Callithrix jacchus: one gene and its partners. The protein of the gene in region 1 interacts with the protein of each later gene in a biochemical or structural test. Links are inferred from orthologs where the notes say so. Each region holds a gene or a part of one and is shown on either strand. Other genes may lie near its edges.

Region 1 (6,656 bases):
GAGGTTGGGTCCTTCTTGGCTTTCTTAGGGACACTTACAGGTCCAAATCTGCTTTCGGATTTGAGATTCAAGAGGGTGGAAACCACTTGGAGATTTGAGTCAAAGCAGACCTGTCCTCACTGTGTGCTGGGCAGGAGCCAGCTCTCCATGTCCGTGCAGCTTCGGCAACACCTCCAGGTCTTTCAGCTTCCCTGGGACTAAGGACCATGCACATGATTAATTCTGACATAAACAGTCACACAGACACCTATGCCAAGATGAGGGTAAGAAATTGGTTAGAGCAAATGAAGTAATAATGAGCCTTGTGCTTCACAATAGAAATTCAACCAACCTGAGGGTTATAATTTACTTATTAACTCTTACTGCTATTATTTTTTTTGAGATGGAGTCTCCCTCTGTCACACAGGCACAATGGTGCCATCTTGGCTCATTGCAACCTCCACCTCCTAGGCTCAAGCGATTCTCAAGCCTTGAGTAGCTGAGACTACAGGCACATGCCACCATGCCCAGCTAATTTTTTTGTATTTTTAGTAGAGATGGGGTTTCGCCATGTTGGCCGGGCCGCTCTTGAACTGCTCTTAAGTGATCCGCCTGCCTCAGCCTCTCCAAGTGCTGGGATCACAGGGGTGAGCCACTGTGCCTGGCCATAATTCACTTATTAGCTCTTCATATATGTATATATATATATAAAAGATCTAAGACTGGAGAATCTAGGGTCAGTGCCTTACAAATGGCACAAGTTGAAGCCCTGAGACTCCCACCGCTACCCTGCTCCCCGCATTCTCAGTACTGCCTCTCAGATGCATCCAGCAGCTAACCCGTATTTGCAAGGCTGGGTTTGGGTACATGCAGTGAGACGTTTACAGGGTCTAAGAGCAGAAACTCTTGAGTGAGACACTCCTGAGTTCATGCACTGGCCCTGCCATTTGTCAGCTGATTGATGTTGCATTTAATTTCGTCATCTGTAACAGGCCTAATAATCTGTAGCCATCTGAGAGATGTTGTGAGCTTGAATAACAGGGTAGTGAATATTTATTTATTTATTGATACAGGGTCTCGCTCTGTCACCCAGGCTGGAGTGCAGTGGCATGAGCATAGCTCCCTGCACCCTTGACCTCCCACGCTCAAGTTTTCCTTTCACTTCAGTCTCCTAAGTAGCTGGAGACCATAGACGCACCTCACGACACCTGACTAATTTTTAACATTTTCTGTAGAGACGGTGTCTCCCTATGTTGCCCAGGCTGGTCTCTATTTCTGGGGCTCAAGTGATCCTCCTGCCTTGGCCTTCCAAAGTGCTGGAACTACTGGTGCGAGTCACCGCGACCACAGCCTATTTACTGAGAACTGTGGAAGGCACAGGCACTATTATAAGTGCTCCAGCTGTTTTATCTCCCACATTTTTGCTCAGTTAGGAGTTCCAAAGCTGGAACTTGAAGATTCGTATTTTAAAAAATTTTGCAGTTAATTCTGAGGTTGGTCAGATTGAGATCATGGTTGTGCATTCATGTTTAGGCAGTGACTAACCACTCAGGGCCTTAGAGACAAACAGAGCTCATTCTATCACTCACTCACTGAATGAGCATAGCCAAGTCTTTCAACCTCTCTAAGCCTCAGTGTCCCCATTCATAAAATGGGACCAGTAGTAGCATCCACTTCTGAGAACTGTTCAGAAGTGGAAATGAACCAATTTAGGTGGCCATGTCTGGCATACACAAATGGTTTGATTAGTATTAGCTGTGCCTTTATTAGGCCATCTCATTTTTGTTAGGTGACTGAGAAACCAAGGACCTTCTGACCTTTGTGCATCGGTCACTCTTAGTTTAAATTTGTTGCTCTTCCATCCACATAATTGATTCCAAATCCTAAGTGTTGGAGAAAGGGAGTTAGTGTGTCATAGAAAAATCCCTGTCTTTGGCCCAGCAGGACTGTGTTTGACTCTATGTAACTGTTTGAGCATTAGTTTCCTCATCTATAACATGGGAGAACAATACTCTGAATTGCTGAGAGAATTAGTGGTAGTTCTTGTCATGGTGTAACATATAAGTAATGTGTTATTGTTGGTGTTCTGGTTATAAAATGTACAACATGTGAAAACAAAAGGGCGGAAAACCCTTATTAAAAACTCAGGAAACAGAAGCAGATGGGAGAGAACTGGGGAGGGACTGGGCATGGTGGCTTATGCCTATAATCCCAGCACTTTGGGAGGCCAAGGTGGGTGGATTGTTTGAGGTCAGGAGTTGGAGATCAGTCTGACCAACATGGTGAAACCCCGTCTCTACTAAAAATGCAAAAATTAGCTGGACGTGGTGGTGGGTGCCTGTAGTCCCAGATACTAGGGAGGCTGAGGCAGGAGAATCACTTGAATCCAGGAGGTGGAGACTGCAGTGAGCCAAGATCTCAGCACTGCACTCCAGCCTGGGCAACAGACCAAACAAACAAACAAACAAAAGAGAGAACAGGGGAGGGTCTGGGGCTCAGAGCTTGGGGAACAGACCTCACTCAGTAGCACCAACACTCCAGGCTGGATACTACAAAGACACAGGTTACTACTAAACTGGAGAACATGGCCACGGCTGGGAACTCAGGGCTGAGCCAAGTAGGGCTGAGCGAAAACACTTCCTCCTTTGTGAACAATCTACCTACATTTCAGCTACAGGGCTGGCTTTACTCAGTCCTCGGGGAGGGAGGAGAAGGCTGGTCTGTGGCTTCAGTGCTGAGATTTGGATCAAGAGAGGGAAATGCCCTCTCCCCAGACCCTTTGCAAGGAAGAATGGCATATTACTTGCTACGGACAGGTGTTATTATTATTAATGGAGTCAGTATAAATGCTTTCCAGTGAAGCATGTCCAGCGCTCGGGTTTCTAGTTTGCACGTCAATGAATTGTCTGCCACCTACCTCTTCTGAATGGTTGGAAATTGGGCATCTGTTCCTTTAAAAAGGAAACATTTCTTGCTTGAGTGAGTCATCTCTGTCCTCCTGCTTTAGGAGTACAATTTACCCCGGAGTTCCTTCTGTTGTGAATTTTCTTTTTCTCTGGAGACCAGATTCTGTCCTTTTGCTGGAGGGAAGTGTTTTTACAGATTTCCTCCTTACTCTTGCGTTTTTTTCAAGCCGGGCTGAATTTGCTAGTCCACTCAACAGGAAGTGAGGCCGTGGAGGGTGGTGATCGAAAGTAAAAGAAAGGTTCCTCCTGGGAGCCCTTCCCACCCCGCTCCCCACGGAGCGTGTGGAGTTAGGCAGGTTAGGGGACTCGGAGACTGCGATGGTGCCCGGAAAGGGTGGAGCGGGTGAGTGCCTGTTGCCGAGGTGACCCCTTCCACAGGAAACCACAATATTTTTGTTTCTTCACTAGCTCTAGAAACGGGTCGGTGGGCAGGGGGAAGCAACTTGCATCTGCCCTTCTGAGGACACCTCTGGGTCCTGCCTGGCCCCGCTCCCCTGTGGGGCTTCTCTCTGAGCCGTTGCCTCTGACCTTGCTGCTTTTTCACTCGGAGGAGTCTCCAGTTTCTTTGCCGCCTTCAGAGCTTGAGCTCCCAGCTTCCCTGACGCCTCGAATACCGACACACTGTCTCCCTCCTGTGGACCCTTTTGGAGATTCCAGAAAACTTTATCAATCCACTTTTTTTTTTTCTTTTTCATTTGGCCCTGGGGCAGGGGGTTAAGTTCTTTATTCTGTCGAATCACGATGCCCTGCAGACCTGGGTCCCTAAGGCGCACAGCCGGCTTCCTTCCTCCCCGGGTTCTAAGGGTTTCCTTTCACCTCTCCACTCCCACCCCTGCCCTCTCTCTTGCTTCCCAAAGACAGTTCTCTAATGTTTTGATATGAATTCGTGATTTAATCTGTATCTTTGCAAAATGTATTTTTCTTTTGTGTGTGTACACTATTTTTTAACTATGCGATCTGAGGCAGGTAAGTAATTCCTCTGTGCCTCTGTCATCTCATCATTATATGGGATTAATAATGCCTCGGGAGGTGACTGTGAGGCTTGAAGGAGACACTAGGCACAAGTCACTTACTACACCAGTTATCAATTACTATTGCATATTAATATTATTGGTATTTTATTTTGCACATTCTATTTCTATTTCTTTTTTGTTTTTTTGAGACAGGGTCTTGCTCTGTCACCCAGGCACAATCATGATTGTACAGTGGCACAATCATGGCTCACTTCAGCCTCGACATCCTGGGATTAAGCAATTTTCCCATCTCAGCTTTCAGATTAGCTGGGACCACAGGCATGTGCTACTACACCTGGCTAATTAAAAATTTTTTTTCGTAGAGATGGTGTCTCACTATGTTGCCCAGGCTGGTCTCAAATGCCTAGGCTCAAATGATCCTCCCACCTTGGCCTCCCAAAGTGCTAGGATTACAGGCATGCCACTGTGCCCATCAGGCATTGATGTTATGAGGCCACCTTGACCTAGCCCTCTCTGGTGAGGAGTCCCTTTCAGATACTTCATTCAGTCTTCTCAGCTATGAGTGCCTGCCCTCTGAATGCTTATATTCTATTTGGGGAAGGACAAAAGGCAGCTTCAAAGAAGAGAGATGCTTGATTTTCTTTTCCTGCTTTTAATATCAGAAAACATTTCAGCTAACTCTCAGTATGAAGGCAATCTTTTGTTTACTGATACATATATTATATACATATGGGCAACTAGAGCCCAACATGATGAGGTCCCCAGGATTTGCCTCTTTGATAAGATGGTAAAAACCCATCTTGCAGTTAACTTCATGGTTTCCTCAGCTACACTCATACACAAGGACCACCTTTGGTAAGATGGGCTTACCAAAGAGTTATTTCATTTTAGAGTTCTTTTCTTTCTAGATTTTTTATTTTAGAATTTTTTTTTTTATTTCAGAGTTTTTTCTTTTTAGAGGTTTTTCATTTTAGAGTTTTTTATTTTAAAGTTTTTTAGATTGCTGAGAGTGGAATCTGGTGACCTTGGGGCCATGGAGATGCTCCTTGGCTAAACCAGGTGCTTTAGCTCTGAAAGTTCGCAGCCACCTTGAGAACCAAGATGAGGGCTCTGCAGTGCCCAATCTCAAGACCTCTCCGGGGTGCTCAGTCACGATACATTGAATGAAAAACTTAAAGTCTTAATGATGAACCCAAAAAAACTTCAAATACTAAATATGAAAAGAAAGTGTTCTTAGTTACAATCCAGTCCAGTGTCCTCATTTCAGAACATGGAAATGAGGCTCCAAAGGTAAAATGACTCATCCAAAGTCACACAAAGATGTTGGCCAGTGGCCATTGCTCAGGTGGCCATGTGCCTTGCCCCACCCTGCCTGCAATCTCATGGACCACCAGGCCTTTTCCCTTTAGCTTTAGGAGCTTTAGAGGGCGGCTCTGCTCACTCAGAGACAAGTGGTAAGTGTTGTTTCCCCTCTAGTGTTTGTGACTCAGGAGTTTCGAAACAGGAAGTGCAGCTGGCTGTGCCTTCCGTCCTTCATTAGACGTTTGCTCTTGTCTTAGATGCTCAGATGGGCAGTGGATAGGCCTGTGAAGAAGGTGCTACCGTTGTGATAATAAGGTAAGGATTCGCCTCTTTGGTAAGGTCAGAGGGGCCTTTTGGGAGGAAGGCCTTTGATTCTGGAGTTTTCTAGGCTCCTGAGAGTGAGATTGGGTGGCCTTGGGGCCATGGAGGTGATCCTCATGTTTGAGTGTGGATGGGGAAACCATGAAGTTAGTGTAAGAGGCAGCAGTCCCTCTGAGAGCCTTGCCGAGGGTTATGCAGTTTCCAGACCTCAAGCCACTCTAACTTAGATCGATGGAGTCTTAGGAGTTTCTGAAAGGCTCCAAGTTTAGCTACTTGTACGAAAGCCTGATCCCAGCCCAACTTGTCTTAGAAGCCAAAATTTAAATCTCAACTGACTTTGCTGCTACAGCTATCCTCCCACCAACACACAGACCCACCAACATACACATTTGCCAACATAAACACACACACACACACACATACGCATACTCATACCCATTGTCCTACTAATTCAATTATTTGTTTTTTAAAGAAATTTAAAAAGGCTGGGCATGGTGGCTCACATCTGTAATCCCAGCACTTTGGGAGGCCGAGGCAGGTGGATCACCTGAGGTCGGGAGTTTGAGACCAGCCTGACCAACAAGGAGAAACCTCGTCTCTCCTAAAATTACAAAATTAGCTGGGCGTGGTGGCCCATGCTTTTAATCCCAGCTACTTGGGAGGATGAGGCAGGAGAATTGCTTGAACCTGGGAGGCGGAGATTGCTGTGAGCCGAGATCACGCCATTGCTTTCCAGCCTGGGCAACAAGAGCAAAACTCTGTCTCAAAAAAAAAAGAAAGAAAATTAAAAAGATACAAAACAGTTCAAAAAACAATATAATGGGAAGACTGGATGGATGAAATCAGAGACCTGTCCTTGTGGGGTTAAGCATTTACAGGTGAAGTTGCAAGTTTCATTCTGTTTGAAAATGATGGGCTTGTATGTTTTGCTGAGGTCGGGATACCTTTGCTTGGTTGTTTGCACACTGTGGTTGCGGCGCCCTGCTATGGACACCATGTGAGTGCAGAATGGATGTCTGTGAGGTTCAGGGGCAGCCCAAAGTCTGGGGCAGCCAGCCTGGACCCGAGGCCGTGGCAATACTACCTACCGGTTAGAGGTTTGGGCCTGAGAGTG
Region 2 (5,088 bases), on another chromosome or scaffold:
CGGCGGGCAAGCCAGATGTGGCCAGAAGAGCATGGTGAGCAGGAACATGGGCTGTATAGCCTGCACCGCATGTTTGACATCGTGGGCACTCATCTGACGCACAGAGATGTACGCGTGCTTTCTTTCCTCTTTGTTGATGTCATTGATGACCATGAGCGTGGACTCATCCGAAATGGACGTGACTTCTTATTGGCGCTGGAGCGCCAGGGCCGCTGTGATGAAAGTAACTTTCGCCAGGTGCTGCAGCTGCTGCGCATCATCACTCGCCACGACCTGCTGCCCTACGTCACCCTCAAGAGGAGACGGGCTGGTGAGGGTGTATTAGGGGCTGGAATTGGGGAAGAGTTGCGGGAGGCCTGGAAAGAGCAGCATAGGCATCTAAAGGGGAGAACACATTGACCATGGGGAGTACTTAGGAGAGTAAGTTGTGAGGCCCAATGGAGGTTTGGACTGAGAGAAGGGAAGGGTGTATATTTTCCTGAATGATTTCTTCTCCTCCTACAGTGTGCCCTGATCTTGTAGACAAGTATCTGGAGGAGACATCAATTCGCTATGTGACCCCCAGAGCCCTCAGTGATCCAGAACCGAGGTCTCCCCAGCCCCCTAAAACAGGTGAGAAGACATCGACTCCCCTTACTTTTCATAATCAAGTAAAATGACACTGATTTCATCACATTCGGGGCTTTGCCAGCTTAAATGAAAGGATGCTGTGCCCCCACATTGTGTGCCATAAAAAAAAAATCATGGCTGGGCACCATGGCTCATGCCTGTAATCTCAGCACTTTGGAAGGCTAAGGCAGGCGGATCATGAAGTCAGGAGATTGAGACCATCCTGGCTAACATGGTGAAACCCTGTTTCTACTAAAAATACAAAAATTAGCCAGGTGCCATGGTGCACACCTGCAGTCCCAGCTACTCAGGAGGCTGAGGCAGGAAATTGTTTGAACCCAGGAGGCAGAGGTTGCACTAAGCTGAGATTGCGCCACTGCACTCCAGCCTGGGCGACACAGTGAGACTCTGTCTCAAAAAAAAAAAAAAAAAAAAATTCAGGTGAGGTGTTGACATTTCTCCTAGGTCCTGTATTTGCTCTCACATTGTGTCTTTTCAAGTCACATTATTGTCACTGCTTTGAGTGCTAAGTCTAAATGATTCCTTCCTCATTCCAAGAGACGTGTTTGAATTTCTGCCTTAATCCTACTGTGTTTTCTTCCCTTTTACTTTCTGGTTAGTGCCTCCCCACTATCCTGTGGTGTGCTGCCCCACTTCGGGTCCTCAGATGTGTAGCAAGCGGCCAGCCCGAGGGAGAGCCACACTTGGGAGCCAGCGAAAACGCCGGAAGTCAGTGACACCAGATCCCAAGGAAAAACAGACATGTGGTGAGGAAGTTCAAGAGTTCCAGAGGTGGAGCAGACTTGAGGGAGACTGTAAAGAACTGTTGGAGGCCGGGCGCGGTGGCTCACACCTATAATCCCAGCACTTTGGGAGGCTGAGGCGGGTGAATTGCTTGAGGGACAGGAGTTCGAGACCAGCCTGGCCAACATGGTGAAACCCCATCTCTTAAAAAAAAAAAAAAAAAAACTGCTGGGACACTGGACAGTTTATGCTATTCAGTGTGAGATTCACTTTGAATGCCATGGCAAAGTGAGGCTGAATGGTTTGGTGTCTGGTGGAGGAACTGCTCTTTATGATTGTGGCAGGGTACATTTAAACTCTTGTTAATACTCTATCATCACCCGGATGTTGTTATGACATCCTTATTGTAGGATGAACCAAGTCAAGATGGGAGTATTAAAATGAACTTCTGTGCCTGGTAATTAGAAATATCTCCTATAAGCAAGTTGCTGCTTGTGAGTAATGGGAGCAGTGCTGACCTGGGCATGTTCAATTTAAGGCAACCTCCTGTAGTCAGGCAAGGATTGTAGAGATACATAGAACTAGTCCTGGGGAAGAGGTAGAGAAGCTGTCAGGTGATGTTCCCTACTTTATTCTGGTATGCTTTTCAGTTTTCAAGCTTGGGTTGTAAACTCATCCCTCACTGTAACCTCTTGTGCTCTGTATCTTCTCTTTCTAACAGACATCAGACTGCGGGTTCGGGCTGAATACTGCCAGCATGAGACTGCTCTGCAGGGCAACGTCTTCTCTAACAAGCAGGACCCACTTGAGCGCCAGTTTGAGCGCTTTAACCAGGCCAACACCATCCTCAAGTCCCGGGACCTGGGCTCCATCATCTGTGACATCAAGTTTTCTGAGCTCACCTACCTCGATGCATTCTGGCGCGACTACATCAATGGCTCTTTATTAGAGGCACTTAAAGGTGTCTTCATCACAGACTCCCTCAAGCAAGCTGTGGGCCATGAAGCCATCAAGCTGCTGGTAAATGTAGATGAGGAGGACTATGAGCTGGGCCGACAGAAACTCCTGAGGAACTTGATGCTGCAAGCATTGCCCTGACCTTTTCCCTCTTCTCATTTCTTTGGGGACTGTTCCCATCACCCACCTCTGGAGCTTACACTGTTCTGGGGTTTGTTCTCTACCCTTCCAACCAATGACACCCCTGCCTTTTTTTTTTTTTTTTTAAAAGAAAAAGACAAAGGAAAGTGGAAGTGGTGTTCCCCACCCCTCCCTGCACCCATGTGCCTGGGCTTCCCCTTTTTTTCCCTTTTCCATTTACCCCTCAACGTGTGTCTCTACAGCTACCTTACCACTGAGCCGTAAGACAAATGTATAGGGAGAAACAAAGTCTACAGAACATAGTCTTTGTAAGGGATTGATGTGAACACTGCTTTTGGGTGCACTAAGGGGTTATCAATACTCTGGCTTTATGAGAGCTCTTAAATTTTGTCTAAAAAAAAACCAAAGGGCTGTGAGTAAGGGAGCTATGTGGAAGGTGGGACTCTGAAGTGTATTTTGAAAATTAATTGCCACCCTCTTCCAAATTATAGAATTTTTTTAAAACGAAGCTGTGGCCCTTTCCACTCTCTCCTGGCCTCTGGTGCTGCTCCTCTCTGCCTTCTTTCCTCCATTCCATGGCTGAAACCTCTGCCTGATGTGGCTCTTTCCTTTTTTGCATTTCTCAAACCCTCTTCAAGGGAGGAATAGATAAGAGGACTGGATCAGCCTAGTCACGCCTCCCCACTATGGTGGCAGATGTGTATGCACATACACAGGGTGGATGGAGAAGAGGTTGCTGATTAAAATACACTCCCCCTGTAAAGGGGAAGGGGGAGTGTGACACTTTCTTTCCACGTTCAAATGAAAATAAATAATGTACCCTGCAGCCCTTTTCCCCTTTGCTTTCTTCTGGCTTGGGCAAAGGGCATCATAGGTGAAAGTGAAGTAATTCCTTTTTCCTTCCCCCTCCACTCCTGTGCCCGCTCCCATGCTTGGGAGAATGGGGCTGGGACATGCACTGAGTGTTGCACTTTTATTTAGGTTGGGAGGCATGTTGAATGAGCCAGGAGGTCTAGAACTGGAGCCCAGTCCAACTAGTATACCAACTCCCCTTGTAGCTCCCAAAGGAGATGTCCAGACACAGACTTTATGATTATTATATTTTTCAATGCCAGTGCTGCTCAGCCCTCAGCATAACTTCAGTTTTCATGAAATAAACAATGACTATATAAAATGCCACCTTTCTGAAACTGCAATCTGACCTCAGGTGAAAGCTTCTTTCCCAAGAAGCCAAGCCTGTGTTCCATCAAGAAAGTCAAGGTTCTCCAATTGAGGGGAGCTGTGCCTGGGTCCTGCCTCCAAGTCACATCAACACTGGCTCACAATGGGGAGGGGGGGCGAGTCTCAACTCACAGAAGTCAAGTCTTAAGACAGTGGGTGACCCAGATTACCATAGAGGTCAGGCCTCCGGTGCTGGAACACAGGCAGGTGTTGGCGCAACTGTCGTAGATAGTTGAGGTCAATTCGGGCAAGGCAGAGCCCTGGGCCTTCAGAGCAGCGGGCCACCACCGTTCCCCAGGGGTCTACCACCATGCTGTGGCCATAACTTGCTCGTTTCTCATGGTGGCATCCACACTGTGCTGCTGCCACTACATAGCACTGGGTTTCAATGGCACGGGCCCGCAGCAACACCTGGGGATGAGATGTGTGTTCAGTTAAGTATACGTAGCAAATAGTGGGGAAGTGACAAGGGACACTACAATCTACCCATTGCGACTTTTGATAATTGCCTAGGAATTATTATTTTAACTATTCTGTAATATAATTATCTGGGAAATGAGTTTTCCTACTAGGTGGAAAGGGGAAGGAGTTTAACTGGTAGGGCCAAGGGAGGAGGCTGAAGTTAAGAAAAGGCTCTTACATTTTAAAAAGGCGCCATCTTACCTCCCAGTGGGCTGGTCCCGTAACAGATCCAAAAGCTGAAGGATAGGTAAGTATCTCTGCTCCAGCTTGAGCCAATGCCAGAGAGAGTTCAGGGAACCGAATGTCATAGCAGACAGCTAGACCAATCTGGAACGAAAAACAGCCTACTTAGTCCTCCTGCCCTGTTCGTCAGAGCATCTAGTCATACTTTCATTACCCCCCTCCTTAGGACTTTCTATTCTCTACTACCAGTTCAAAGTATTCCAGTTCCCCTCCCTCACCCTCTCACAACTCCCACCTTGCCTGCTGGTGTGCTGACAGGCGACTCAAGACTGGGCCCCGGCATGGTAGAGTTGCTTTCACACATAGGCCCCTGCCCTGGAATCTCTACATCACACAGATGTGTCTTCCTGTAAGTGGCCACTACTGCCCCTAGAGTAAGAAGGAATATTCAGTGCCCGTGTTCCAGAAACCTTGCTTACTCTTCCCAAGGAGTAGTTTATAGGCTAGGAACAGAAGTAACACCCTTAAATCCTAGGGTCAAGGAAATAGAGTTGAGAAACAATTCTGGAGAATCTAAGTTTACGTGGAAGAGGCAGGCTAAAGGGTTATAAAGTCTCACCTTTGCTGTTCAGCAGCACATGACAGTTGTAGATTTTCTGAGTCTGCTCCCAGTCTTGGCCACGCTCATGGAAACCACCCAAGGACAGCCAGAGTCCACATTCCCTGGGGGGAGGGGACACTGACTTCTCAAGGCTGTACCCTCATATTTGG
Region 3 (5,857 bases), on another chromosome or scaffold:
TCTAGATGCTTTTCTGGTAGATGGCCTTAGTTTCCTCTCCTTCCCTCCTCACTGTGGTTTTTTTTCCTCATTTTGCTGACTGTCATACTCAGAATTCTTGTTTTGAAACTCAGTCCTCCAGATCTGCTTCCCTTTCAACGTCAGCCCACAAGATCATACTTGTTTGGAGCTTCCTGAAAAATCTAGGGTATGTGTCTGACTCCTCCCAGCCTTCTTGTTTCCTGACTTTCCTAAGCCTGCAGATCAAATCTGTTATCAAACCCATTATCTTGAAAAAAAAAAAAAAAAAAAAGTATTTACCTTTTCTAGCTCCACCCCTCTTTCCAACTTGGACACAGAGTACAAGATCATCTGAATGACAGACTTTAAGACAAGTAGTCATCCTAGTGCCTGGTAAAGCAGGACACACCAGGTAACTAGAGGGCAAGAATCTCCTAGGCATGGAGATTCTTGAGTCTCGGGGCACAAAACCAAGTGGAGAATAACTGTGCATGAGCCTGAGAATCCACGCAATCAGTTGATGCTATGGGCTAAGTGCCCTCCAAAATTCATGTGTTAGAATTTCATCCCCACCATGGTAGCATTAAGAGGGGGGGCCTTTTAAGAACTGATGAAGTCATGAGGGCTCCCCGCTCACAGCAAGCGCCTTTCCAACACCTTCAAACACCCTTGGTCTAAGCTTCCATCCACCTCTCAGCCAGGCCCTGCAGATCACAACTGCTGTGTGAAGCAAGAGGCAGCAAACAGGGACCCAGACTCAAATAGGTACCTCGCAGTAGGCAAGTTTTGCCCAAGTAGCTTCGTCCTGACCAAGGTACTTAGTTTTACCAAAAAAAATCCACCAGAAATACTCTGGCTGCCATGGAACCTAACATGCCCTCATTACGAGTTTCATGTGAGAAAGGCCCTGAGGTGAGGGGAAGAGAGGCCTGGCCTCTTCATGCTACTTCTACCTGCTGTCCCTAGGTCAGCATCCCAGACACAAAGAGCCCCCATTCGCTTGCTCCCTCGTAAGCTTGACTCCGAATGTCCTCTCCCAGAGGAGGACAAGGCCTTACCGCTACACCTGACTCTCCATGCAAACAGAGCACAAGATAGTCATTTGTTTGCCCCAAGAGAGTATGTGGTGCGTTAGGGTCTTCTGACATTTCGGGTGGCCCTCTCCCACTCTCCATGCTGCCTCTGGAGGTGAGGACAAAACTATGTGGCTTCCCTAACACAGACAGGGCCTTGGGGTCCAGGCCACAGACTGAGGAATCAAAGTCACAGGGGAGACTGAGCCCACTGAGCTTTGTGTCCCTAGCTAGCCCAGGGCTCCACTAACAGCACCTGCCCCTCAACTCCCACTCACAAGGACAGCAGCAAGGAAAAGCCAGCAATGTAGAGATTCCTCTGGGCACGGAAAAGCTTCATGTGGAAGTGTTCCATGGCTCCAGGATTGTTCTGGAGGTTCACCTTTTCAGTCACATCATCGTACTTTCGAATCTCGCGCACGGCATCTGTGGTGGAGCAGAAGGGAGACATAGGTGTTTAGCGGACACGAGGGCAAGTCAAGGCTGTACCAGGCAGACACGGCATGAGACAGGTCAGCCTCGCTTCCCTCACATTGGCCTCCCCTTGTGAGATGATGTTATCAGAAGCTCCCCCTCAGGCCGGGCACAGTGGCACATGCCTGTAATCCCAGAACTTTAGGAGGCCGAGGTGGGCAGATCATATGAGGTCAGGAGTTGAAGACCAGCCTGCCCAAAATGGCAAAACCCTGTCTCTACTAAAAATACAAAAAAAAAAAAAAATAGCCATGAGTGGTGGTGGGCATCTGTAATCCCAGCTACTCAGGAGGCTGAGGCAAAAGAATTGCTTGAACCCAGGAGGCAGAGGCTGCAGGGAGCTGAGATCACACCATTGCACTCCAGCCTGGGGGGCAAGAGTGAAACTCCGCCTCAAAAAAAAAGAAACTCCTACCCTCAGACCCACTCCTTTCTCCAGTTTTTCAATCCCTGGCCCCATTCTACATAGGCCCCAAGCTTGCTCTGCAGTTTAAGATGCTAACCAAGCCTAAAGAATTGCTGGAAACGGGGGTGGCTTCCTTTTCCCACGGTGCCCCCAACCACATCTTGTTCTGTTCATCTCAAGTTGGCCCACCAGCCACCCCCAGTGATAAGCCAGAGTGAACCTGGTGATAGAAATGTCTGCTGAGGGGACCTAAGATGCTGAAGAGTCAAGACCCAGGCCAGATGTGGTGGCTCACGCCTATAATCCCAACAGTTTGGGAGGCCAAGACAGGAAGACTATTTGAGGCCAAGAGTTCACAGCCATCCTGGGCAACACAGGAAGACCCTGTTTCTACCAAAAAAAAAAATTAATAGCTGGGCATGGTGGTGCAAACTTGTAGTCCCAACTATTCGAGAGGCTGAGACAAGAAGATCGCTTGAGCCCAACAGGTCAAAGGTGCCATGAGTTAACATCATGCCACTGCATTCCAGCCTGGGTGATGGAGCAAGACTCTGTCTCGAAAAAACCCAAACCAAAAAAAAAAAAAAAAAAAAAAAAAAAAACAGGAGTTAAGACCTGCAGGATCCCAGCTAGGGGTCAACGGTTTCATCTCAAAGCTTTACAATGCATTTTATGATTCATAATGTTTTATTCTGATTACAAAAGAAATTCACGCTCATCAAAAGTTCAAACACACCCAAAATGTAGAAAGGGAAAGGATAACACAATCACCTCCAGCAATATATACAACAAAAATGTGGCCACCTCATCTAAAGTCACTTTTAGGCACACTACCCTATGCTCTCTGCTTTGTAATAGACACCCATCTCTGATATTATCTTAAACACATTTTTTGGCTGGGAGAGGTGGCTCACGCCTGTAATCCCAGCACTGTGGGAGGCTGAGATGGGTGAATCACCTGAGGTCAGGAGTTCAAGACCAGCCTGGCCAACATGGTGAAATCCCGTCTCTACTAAAAATACAAATCTTAGCTGGGCATGGGAGTGGGTGCCTGTAATCCTAGCTACTCAGGAGGCTGACGCAAGAGAATTGCTTGAATCCAGAAGGCAGAGGTTGCAGTGAGCCGAGACCGTGCCATTGCACTCCAGCCTGGGCAACAAGAGTGAAACTCCATCTCAAAAAACAAAACAAAACAAAACACATTTTTTGGGTCCATCTCTCCCAAACAAGACTACAAACTTCACAAGAGCAGAAATCTTTTCAACTATATTCCCAGGGCCTGACATAGTTCTGGGTGCAGAGTGGGTACTGAAATAATTGTTGAGTCAGTAAACAGCCGCTGTTAGAGAGAGTACCAGTTAAAAATACATTTATGTTTGTCTCTAATAGAGAAATTGAAGCTTACTGCTTTTCACCATGTACCCTGAGACATCTTTTTAAGTCATGACACTAAGGTGTGCCTAAAGAAGGCGCTTCATAGACTCCGTATGAGAAGGGCAAGGTATCGCTGTATGGGCATCAAGATTCTTTTTGTAGGGTAGGTTACAGGGTCTCACTCTGTCACCCAGGCTGGAATGCAGTGGCATGATCTCAGCTCACTGCAACCTCTGCCTCTCAGCCTCAAGCAATCCCTCCACCTCAGCCTCCCCAGTAGCTGGGACCACAAGTGTGTGCTACCACACTCAGCTAATTTTTTTTCTTTTTCTACTTTTGGTAGAGACAGGGTTTTGCCATGTTACCCAGGCTGGTTTTAAACTCCCGAGCTCAAGCAATGGCCTTGCCCTCCCAAAGTGCAGGGATTACAAGTATGAGCCAGGGCTTGGCCTCATGGGGTTCTTAATTTCTGGTTTTAGGTTGCTTGGTTTTTAGCTGATCTTGCATTATAAAAATCTGTCCATCCTTCCAGGCGTCTTTGCATTACATCAGTACCATGAAGCAAGTACTCTCTTTTTTTGTTTGTTTTTTGTAGACACAGGTTTTCACCACATTCGCAAGGATGGTCTCGATCTCTTGACCTTGTGATCCGCCCGCCTCGGCCTCACAAAGTGCCGGGATTACAGGCATAAGCCACTGCACCCAGCCAAAGCAAGTACTCTCAAACGCTATTAGCAGGGGTATAAGCAGCACACATGCATCAAATGTCGTGTTCATACCCTTGGGTTCAGCAATCCACCTCTGTATTTGCCCACAGAAGGATTTCCATAAATGTACGATGATGCGAGGAGGCTTATAAAGAACAGACTATGGCACAACCACATGAGAGAATACTACGTGACCTCTAAGAAGAATGAGGTTGCCATGGAAAGATGTCAGCCAGGCGTGGTGGCTCACACCTGTAATCCCAGCACCTTGGGAGGCCAAGGCAGGCAGATCACATAAGGCCAGGAGTTCAAGACCAGCCTGACAACATGGTGAAACCCCATCTCTACTAAAAATACAAAAAATTAGCTGGGCGTGGTAGTGGGCACCTGTAGTCCCCAGCTACTCAGGAGATGAAGGCAGGAGAATTGCTTGAACCTGGGAGGCAGAGGTTGCAGAGAGCTGAGATGGTGCCACTATACTCCAGCTAGCCTGGGTGACACAGTGAGACTCTGTCTTAAAAAAAAAAAAGGCTGTGTAAGGCGCAGTAAGTAGCAAAAGCGCCATCCAAAGCATTGGTTCAGCTCTGCTGTGGACAGCAGTCTTGTCTCAGAGCTGTGCTGCCTGTTTAGGTGTGGAATGCTCCTCTCGCCATGTCCCAGCAGGACCGTAGAAGGAAACATAAATACTCAGGCCGGGCGTGGTGGCTTGGTAATCCAAGCAGTTTGGAGGCCAAGGCGGGCGGATCACCTGATCAGGAGTTCAAGACCAGCCTGACCAACGTGGTGAAACCCCGTCTTTAAAATAAATAAATAAAAATAAAATAAAGAAACATAAATACTCTGTGTGTATGATCCCACTGCTGTAGACATTTTATTAAAGATGTCAGCATAGAAAACACCTGTGGAAATGTGTAACAAAATATTCATGATGGTTACCTGTGTGGGACATGGGATTAAGGGGGAGTTTACTTTTCTAAACTCAATTTTTGAATTTTTAAGAATAATTACGCATTATTTTTGTAATCAGAAAAACAAGATAAAATACATGTTTTCTTACACTGTCACCTGCATCCAAGAACCCCATCATCCTAAGGACCACCTTGGCCAATGACCAAGAGTGGGGATGGAGGACGAAGCAATACTAACCCAAGTCCCACAGTAGATCCAGGCCCTCCCTGTCTCAGGCCTCAGCCCAGGTGGGAAGATCCTACACTCTCAGGAACTCCACCCTCCCAGGCAGATCTGCTCAACCCTCTCTGCCCCCAAGTAAGGACGAAGCTCTAGCTGGTTATGCCAGTTACCCTTCACTAGTACCTGTGACTAATACTTCTATTTGAAGAAGGCTCTGCAGATCTTTCTAGATTATGCTTCTTAACATGAGAGTAGGAAGCAGCCAGTCATCATGGCCATATGTTCCTCTAGAGCTAAGCAGTTGCCTGATCCCCAAAAAAGAATGAAGGCTTTGTCAACTACTGGATTCTGCAAAGGATCTCTCCAGCCTTCTCAGCTGCTCTAGGAAAGAGATATACTCCTTCTGGTTTGGGGAAGGGGTAAGGCCCTGAGGGAATCATCCTCAGCATGGTCCTTCCCTTACCCAATCCCTGCCCTAGACCCAAAAATCAAAACACACACTCTCAGTTCAAAAACTCTGTAGCCTGGCTTTTCATGCCACTTAGCCCTGCGGATGACACATACATTCCCCTACCTACTCCTGGTTTGGAGGCTGCTCAGGGAGAGAACCGTGGTTAGAAAGAGCTACCTATTGGTACCTTGCCTATTATTTTGGGAACACTGAGGTACTCAGGCAGCTGGTACCTACCCTC

The links.
Region 2: the proteins of CASP8 (region 1) and DEDD form a complex in vitro, tested with the Homo sapiens proteins (2 studies listed by BioGRID). The link is inferred for Callithrix jacchus from reciprocal best matches to the Homo sapiens genes CASP8 and DEDD.
Region 3: of the proteins of CASP8 (region 1) and BCAP31, one has a biochemical effect on the other in vitro, tested with the Homo sapiens proteins (2 studies listed by BioGRID, with this or other methods). The link is inferred for Callithrix jacchus from reciprocal best matches to the Homo sapiens genes CASP8 and BCAP31.

The regions. Positions count from the first base shown.
Region 1 is NC_133507.1:122,348,277-122,354,932, forward strand, and holds the start of CASP8 (caspase-8), read left to right. Parts: upstream 1-2,960; 5' UTR 2,961-3,263; coding exon 3,264-3,288; exon of another isoform or gene 3,289-3,565; intron 3,566-5,478; exon of another isoform or gene 5,479-5,536; intron 5,537-6,656. UniProt on the Homo sapiens protein: Thiol protease that plays a key role in programmed cell death by acting as a molecular switch for apoptosis, necroptosis and pyroptosis, and is required to prevent tissue damage during embryonic development and adulthood.
Region 2 is NC_133519.1:20,980,171-20,985,258, reverse strand, and holds the end of DEDD (death effector domain-containing protein), read left to right. Parts: coding exon 1-310; intron 311-504; coding exon 505-612; intron 613-1,229; coding exon 1,230-1,376; intron 1,377-2,074; coding exon 2,075-2,451; 3' UTR 2,452-3,625; downstream 3,626-5,088. Other genes in the region: NIT1 (deaminated glutathione amidase), read right to left, coding at 3,817-4,083, 4,336-4,461, 4,613-4,746, 4,937-5,040. UniProt on the Homo sapiens protein: A scaffold protein that directs CASP3 to certain substrates and facilitates their ordered degradation during apoptosis. May also play a role in mediating CASP3 cleavage of KRT18. Regulates degradation of intermediate filaments during apoptosis.
Region 3 is NC_133524.1:149,634,882-149,640,738, forward strand, and holds part of BCAP31 (B-cell receptor-associated protein 31), read right to left. Parts: intron 1,500-5,857; coding exon 1,352-1,499; intron 1-1,351. UniProt on the Homo sapiens protein: Functions as a chaperone protein. Is one of the most abundant endoplasmic reticulum (ER) proteins.